Canis lupus familiaris: one gene and its partner. The protein of the gene in region 1 interacts with the protein of each later gene in a pairwise test. Links are inferred from orthologs where the notes say so. Each region holds a gene or a part of one and is shown in the gene's direction. Other genes may lie near its edges.

Region 1 (3,500 bases):
GCGCGAGCCCCTTGAAGGGTGGCGGCAGCGGGGTCCAGGCGCACTTAGGGTTTGCTTAGTTCACTGTGTTGGTCTGAGGAAGCAATATTCATGGTTTCTTTGCATTTTCAGTTTTACAGACGAGAGAAAAGATCACGACTAATTGCTATAAGTTTAAAATCAAAGATGGTTCTTTCATCACGCTCCGGAGTCGATGGTTCAGTTTCATGAACCCTTGGACCAAGGAAGTAGAGTACATCGTCTCAACCAACACTGTTGTTTTGTAAGTGTCCCCCCGCCCGGGAAGCTCTCTTGCCTCCAGGACAAATGCCCGGGCTCCTTACCTGGGAAGGCGGGTGCAGGCGGCAGCCAGTGGCGCACCCTCTAAGGCTACCGGCCGATACCCGGCGAGGCCTCGGGATGGGCAGAGGCCAAAGGGGTCGGTAACCAAGAACACGCTTCGATGTGCGTGCCGTGCAGGCCCCTGGCTCGTGGAATTGCCACGGGAGCAGCAACCGTTCCTTCCCGATACGGCAGTTAGCTTTTGACGCCCGAAGGCCCTGCACGCTGGGCGCCTGGGCGCTGCCGTGCAGAGGCCGACAGCCCAGGAGAGGCTCGCCCGGGTGCCGCCTCATGCTGGCCTTGGCTCAGGGCCCCCGTGCCCGCCGGGCTGGCCGCCCGAGCGCTGGCAGCCCAAAGCCCGCCTCAGAGGCCGCCACCTGCCAGGCGAGCAGGGAAGGGGCCCCTCTTGGGCGAGGACTGCTCCCCGCATCTCCTTCCCCATGGTGTCCAGAGCAGAGTGAGGGGCCGGGGCTAGGTCCCTGCACACTGGCAGGAGAGGAGGCCCCGTAGCAATGGCAGTGGGCGGCTGCAGTCACCTTCTCTGCCGGACTGTGTCCTCTACAAACCAGGAAGGCCCAGGCAGGCAGTGAGGCCAAAGGCCGGGATGCTGTCCACCGTGTTCTCGAACAGCGAGGAGACCTGCTGAGCCACTCAGGCAGACACTTCATTTTCTGGCCTGTCCAGGTCCAGAGTGGACACCGGACACCTTGGCCAAGGTGAAAGGTGCACGGTTCTGAGCAGGCCTGACTCATGTTTCCTTATTGCTGGGATGTTCACAGAGCCAACGTCCTGGAAGGCGGGGACCCAACCTTCCCGCAGCTCACAGCGTCCCCCCACAGCATGGACAGCATGCTGCCCTCTGGAGAAGGTAACTATGTACTGCAGGGGCATCGGGGCTTGCCCATGAGAAGCTGCTCGTGGCCAGTGTACCCCCTCCCCAACTATTTGGTGTCCCCAGCCCCCATATTTTATGGAAGGGAGGCTTCAAGCAGATGAGCCCTAAGGACGTTGTCCTCTCACTTTCTCTGTGGAGCCTGGAATACTGAGAGCTCGTTCCAAGGTTGCCGGGACCTTGGAAGCCCTTGGAATAGGAAACTCGTTGCTCCTCTTGGGCTTTCCTCCGTGTTGCCCAGTGCTGGGATGTGGTGCTTTTTGGTACTGTCACTGGCTCCTGGGGGGGAGGAGGGTCTCTGTCAGTGGGGCTCCCTTCTGGGCTTGGCCCTGGCCTCTGCACCTGACGTACCCTTCCACGGCACCACCTCCGCTTGCATGGCTTCCTTCAGTCCCCTCCTCTCCACCACCGACTCTTACATCTGATCTCTCTGTCTCTGGAGCCATAGGTCTGTCTCTCCACCTGCCTCCTGGACAGAGCCACCTGGAGTCTCAAAAGCACCTGAAATTTAGCCTCTCCAAACCGATTCTCTGCACTCCTTCATCTGGTTGGTTAAGCCAGAAACCTTGACTCTTCCTTCATGCCCGTTCTATCTGAGCACGAGGTCCTGTCCCTTCTGCCCCTCTTAGACTTCTCCATCTCCCTCCCATCTGTCGCCCGGATTGTTGCAGAGAATTTTTTAATCGTAGTCTTACTCCCCCACCCAACCCCTTTCCTCCGCTGTAGTTCACGCTCCATGCAGTGGACTTCCCAGTAACCCAACCTAAGTGCCTTTTCTGTGCGAAGTGTTTGGCACGCCTTATCTCTGGATCCTGTCTAAATCCATTAGTATGGCATCCAGGACCTTTCACCCAGGTACCTCCTCCAGTTTCATCTGTCACTCTTTCGTCATCGTTCATGATGAAGTTCTTGGAGTAGTCTCCCAAGTTGTGTCCTCCCTCAGTGCTCTTGCGTACATTGGTTGCTGTGCGTGGAACACCTTGCCCTCCCTACCTCTCTGCCCAGCTAATTTCTACTCCTCTCTCAAGACTCAGCTCAGTGTTAAACTTGCCCAGGAAGCTGTACCTGGGCCTGGAGGAGTTGGGTGCCTTGTACTTACCTGTCAAACTTACCACACTTTGTTCCAGCCATTGTTCATCTTGTTCATCCCCCTGTTAGACTGTGAGCTCCTTGAGGGCAGAGCTGCCGACTTGCCTCTGGGACCCTGGCTTGCTGTACAGCGGTAGTCGGTAAACGGATGTTGAGCGCGTGAGGGGAACTAGAGCCCTTGCTTTGGCCTCTGATCCTGGACGCAAACTTGAGCCTTCTGCTGGAATGGCTTTTCCTGACAAGCTGCAGCTCTGCTGTCCCTTAGGGCATAACCCTGAGGTTAAACTTCAAGTGGATCACAAGATGAACTGGTTTTAACTCATAATAGCATTTCTTCCTTGGTTCCCCTTTCCCACTCTCAGATTCCTTTGTTGTAGGTGGCCCAAAGAGGACCCACCCCACTGTTCCAGGGATTCCAGGGGGAACCAGGGCTGGGGCAGGCAAAATAGGTCGAATGATTGCTGAAGAAATCATGGAGATCCACAGGCAAGTAACACCTTCTAGTTGCTCCCTTAAACCAGTGGTTCTCAACCCAGGGCATTTTGCCCCCGAGAGCTGTTTTGTAATACCTGGAGATATTTTTGGTTGTCATAACTGGGTAGGACGTTGCTGCTAAATATCCAGTGGATAGAGACCAGGGATGCTGCTTGCTAAACATCCTGTAGGACACAGGACAGCCTCCCTGCCATCTCCTTCCACCCGAAACAAAGAATTTTCCAGTCCCAAATGTCAATGGTGCCGAGATTGAGAAATCTGGCCTTAAAGAGTGAAACCCAAACAGGCCAGAGTTAAAGGGAATTCTTTGGGGACTCAGTTTTCTCATTACTTTATTATGACTCAAGGGGCTCATGAGGATGGATGAACACTGTAACATTACAGGACTGCAGGAGTGGCGACAGTCCGTGATCTGGGCCTCAACACGACATTAGCTGCTTCTAGTCAAAGCTGCCTGGCTTCGATAAGAGCCCACGCAGAATCTCTCTTGAGAGGGCTTCTTTTCCATATTTAAGTAGTTTACTGGAGTTTGAGTTCTGGGCTCCTACTTGGCTGTGCTTAAGAGATTCACTTAACTTCCTGGTCTCTGTTGAATTAAGCCATAAAAGGCAGGTAATAACTATCTCCCAAGAATTGCTTTAGGAGTATGAGAGGTCTCAGGAATGTTCCTAGGGTAGAAACTGACATATGGTGAGTGCTCAGA
Region 2 (4,102 bases), on another chromosome or scaffold:
CCGCACGGGGCCGCGGGGTGGCAGCGGGCCCCGCGAGGGTCTGTCCCGGCCGCCCCCGGCGACAACTTGAACGGGACTTCGGCCGGCGGCCCCGCGCCCGCCCGCGGCCGCTCCCGGCCAGTTCACCTCCAAGCACGCACACCCGCCGCCCGCGCCCGCCGCCCGCCGCCCGCGCCAGCCCGACCCCGCGCCCCCGGCCGGGCCCCGACCCCGCGCTCCCCGCGGCCCGGCAGAGGCGCCGGCCGCCGCGCCGCCCAGGGGAGCCGGGGGTCCGGGGGCCGCAGCGTGCGAGTCCCAGGCCGGGGCGGGCCGAGGCCCCGCGTGCGCCCGGGAGAGACCCGGCAGCAGGAGCGGAGGGAAGGAGGAGGAGGCGAGGGAGGAGGAGGCGGCGGCGGGAGGCGGGAGGCGGGAGGAGGGCGGGGGAGGAGGAAGAGGCGGCGGCGGCTCTCCCCACCGGCTCTGCGTGCGGAAGAGTTTGCCGCGCGAGCAGCCGGCCTCCCGCAGGAGCCGAGGGACCCGCGCGCCGGCGGCCGGGCAGCAGCGGCCGCGCAGCTCCGAGACCCGCGGCCGCGGTGGCGGCGGCGGCGGCGGCGGCGGCAGCGAGAGCAGCGCCTCCCGCCGCCGCCCGGGAGGAGCTCGCCGCGCCCGCTCGCCGCCTCGGCTCCCAGCGGCGGCGGCGGCGGCGGCGGCGGCGGCGGCGGGAGGCGCGTCTCCCCGGCCCAGTCCGCGCCCGGCCCCGCGGGGTCGCCCCGGCCAGCTCCGAGGTAAGGGGCCGCGCCCGGGGACGCGGGGGGCCCGCGGCGGGAGTCCGCGCGCGCGGGTTCGCGGGACCCGGTCACCTGCCAGCCGGCGCGGCGGACGCGCGGGGCCGCGGGGGGGGGGGGGGCGCTCAGGCGCGGGGCTGCGCGGCGCGGGGGTCGGGGGCGCGGGATGGGGTCCCCCCGCCCCCCGGGGCCCGCCGCCCGGGACGCCGCGGCCGGCAGGACTGCAGGGGCGGCCGGGCTGGTGTGCTCCGTGTGCGTCGCGCCGTAGGCAGCGGAGGACGAGGCACCCCGAACCTCAGCCTTTGGGGGAGCTCAGAGGGTGCCGTCGGGGTGGATAGAGGCCAAGCCGAGGTAGCAGCCTGGAGGGCCGCCCGTGCCCCCCGCCCCCCCCCCCGAGCCCCACCGCTCGCCCTCTCGAAGAGGGGGAGCGGGGAAGCCCCGGAGAGTGCGGCGTGCGCGCCCCGGGCCCGCGATCCCCCGGGTCCCTGGGTCGGATTCGGCTCCGGGCCCGACCGGGAACCCAGCCTGCCCCCTGCACGTTTGGAGAACGCGTAGCCCGGCTCCTCGCTTCGCCTCGCCGCCGCTCCCCAGCTTGGATGCCAGCGCGCTGTTTTGATAGGAGGCGTGCCCCCTCCCCGGGGCCGCCGAGGAGCCCTACCTTTGACCTCTCCGTGGAGCTGCGCGGGGTCCTTCAGCAGGGGGAGCGGGGACAGGTGCCAGGGAGCTAAATTAAAAACCCCGCTCCTCTGCCTGCCGCTCCTTGACTGCTCAAGGTAAGAAAGTTTGTTTTCAGCCCTGTGATTCATAAATAATTAGTAACCAGCTTTGGAGATTAAGCAAGATGGAAACCTTAAAAATACACACACACTTCCAGAAAGTCTAAAAACTACCATGATTGTATCCGGGAGGCTTTAGTTCAAAAAGTTTAGAGCCCTGGGATTCAACAGGTGTTCAGAAGGGGTCCAAGAGGGGAGAGCTCTACGTGTTTGTCTTCAGTACCTACCTGCTGCTTTGGTATAGTGCCCCAAATTCATTAAATTGGTTGGCCTGTTTCTTTACAGGTAAAATATTGAGTAGCTGTTAACGTAATCAGCAGAGAGGAACTGGTCATTTGTGATCATTTAGAAACCAAACCTTCTTTTCCTTAATAGGAGGGTTTTCCCTGTTTGGACTTTCCAGATGATTGGCTCAAAAGCAGTTCCTGGCAAGATGTAGCCCTGTCCACGCCTCTGTCCTAAGACTAACTTAGTACCTGACCAGTGAATTGAACAACTGATTATGGCTTGCATGAAAGCAGAGATGCCCTTCTTGGGTGGGAAGTGCCAGTTCAAAATTCAAGGGCAAGTACTAAGGTCTTTCTGTCACAAAGATTTCCTTAAAGAGAAAGCTTAGCAAAAATAATCCCAAAATGTATTTTAAAATAGCCCCCAAATAAATATAGCATTTAAAGGTGTTGTTCTGACTAGGGCCACTATTTTTTGCAAAAGCAGAAAATAAATTTTTAAAATCTGTGTTACATTACACAGCTAAGCCAGGACCCATAGAAGTATTGGCATTTCTCAGCAGTCTTCTTAAACACTTAGTTAGAAATAAAGTGTGCAACATAAAGACATTCAATACTTGTCTTCCATCTCCCAGAGCGATGCGGGAGTGTGGCTTAGAAGAATTGTAAATGTGCTGCTTTTAGCCATTTTCATCTTGGAAATCGATGCTTCTATTTATTTGCTGATCTGTCCCACTGTGTGCAACAGCAGAATTGGTTATATCCTTACTACTCCCCAGAGTGACTCCTGCGGAGGTGAGAGAAGGGACTTCATTCTGGAGGAAATACGTTATTAATAAAACGTTGCCCCCCAAAGAGTTTAACGTGCCAAGAAAAGAACCAAGTGTGGCTTTATTAATTAGTGTGATGAAAAAAATTCCCTGATATGATGAGAGTGTTCAGATGGTGACAAAGAATTCATCTCTGGGTAGAAAATAATGATTGTTTTTAAGCACATTTGGTTCTTTTAGGAGTTTGGGTCCTTTGTCAACTATTTCTGGCTGCCTAATAATGAAAATGATAAAAGTAATGAAAATGTTAAAAAAAAAAAACAATGACCCACATCATGTGATGCATGCCATTATTAAGTTGAATTTATCGTATTTTTTAAACTATCTTAACTCTTGGTAGTCTTTATAGCTGGCTCTTCACCCTGCCACTTGTTTCAAGTTACAAATTAGTGATTTGTTCAGATTAAAATAACACTATATGCATATCTTTTTGATATGATCACCTGTATATGTTCATTTTTTTGAAGTCTTGCTTTTGAACCTTAAGAACCTGAAGAGCTAAAGTCCTTTTTCTTAACTGTTATTACTGCTATGTATCTTGTCCTTCACTTGAAAAGTCAGTTTCTCCATTGTGATCGGGACACTGATTGTCCCATGCGGATCCCATGTAAGCGGTGACATCTCTTTCCCAAGAGAGGTCAAATTACAAGGTGTTGAAAATAGCCCAGTGACTCAGTATTCTTGGCTGCTTTACGCCGATGGATTAATTGGCTGCATCATAGAAGCATCTAATTGAGTTTCACATTTAAATAGTGGAAATGATATTTGATGCATTATTTGCTTACACAAATGTTTCATTAGCATGTTCCTGATCATCATTCTATTTGTAGCAAAGATGGGAGGTCAGGGACTGCCACGTTCATATTCCCCACCGCATCTCAGCCCTGTGAGGCCTTGTTCATAATAGATGCTCAACAAAGAGTGTAGGAAGTGAGCGGAGTTGTCGATGAGAGTTATCCAGAGGTTAGAAATTCGTGAATGCTAATGGAGTACTTAACTATGAGTAACTCAAGTTTAAATCTGATGATGGTGAATAATACCTTACAGCACTAAGTAAGGACTTACTGAATGTGAACACTTATTAAAAAGAATTTCTAAATGCAGGCATTAGCTAAGGCACTACTGAATTTGCTCGCTGAATTCTTGGACATTGGCGACCACTTGGCATTGTAAGCGAAGTCATCTTCTCGGCAAATTGCCTCCAAGATCACTTGAACTTCTATGGATCATAAAACAATGTGTGGTTTCCATCTGATGATGCAGAATAGAAAGGAGAGAGCTTAGCTTCTCCTTTCTGGTGGTGTGAAAAAAAGTGTATTAAAGAAGGTGAAGGTGCCAAAGATTGTGTCTCAAACTTCACAGTGCGTGTGATTTCCTGGGGACCTTCCTAAATGCACAGGCTTACTCAGCACATCTGGGTTGGGAGCCAATATTCTGCATTTCTCACAAGCTCCTGATGCTGTGAAACGCCAGCAAAGTTCTGGAATACACTTCATTCCGTTTAG

What was found. The genes of interacting proteins can lie anywhere in the genome.
Region 2: the proteins of ARNTL (region 1) and NPAS2 interact in binary tests that used the Homo sapiens proteins (3 or more experiments, as listed by UniProt). The link is inferred for Canis lupus familiaris from reciprocal best matches to the Homo sapiens genes BMAL1 and NPAS2.

What each region holds. Positions count from the first base shown.
Region 1 is NC_049242.1:36,919,812-36,923,311, forward strand, and holds part of ARNTL (aryl hydrocarbon receptor nuclear translocator-like protein 1), read left to right. Parts: intron 1-111; coding exon 112-262; intron 263-1,100; coding exon 1,101-1,189; intron 1,190-1,655; coding exon 1,656-1,760; intron 1,761-2,664; coding exon of another isoform or gene 2,665-2,679; coding exon 2,680-2,788; intron 2,789-3,500. UniProt on the Homo sapiens protein: Transcriptional activator which forms a core component of the circadian clock.
Region 2 is NC_049231.1:43,056,638-43,060,739, reverse strand, and holds the start of NPAS2 (neuronal PAS domain-containing protein 2), read left to right. Parts: upstream 1-1,302; 5' UTR 1,303-1,537; intron 1,538-4,102. UniProt on the Homo sapiens protein: Transcriptional activator which forms a core component of the circadian clock.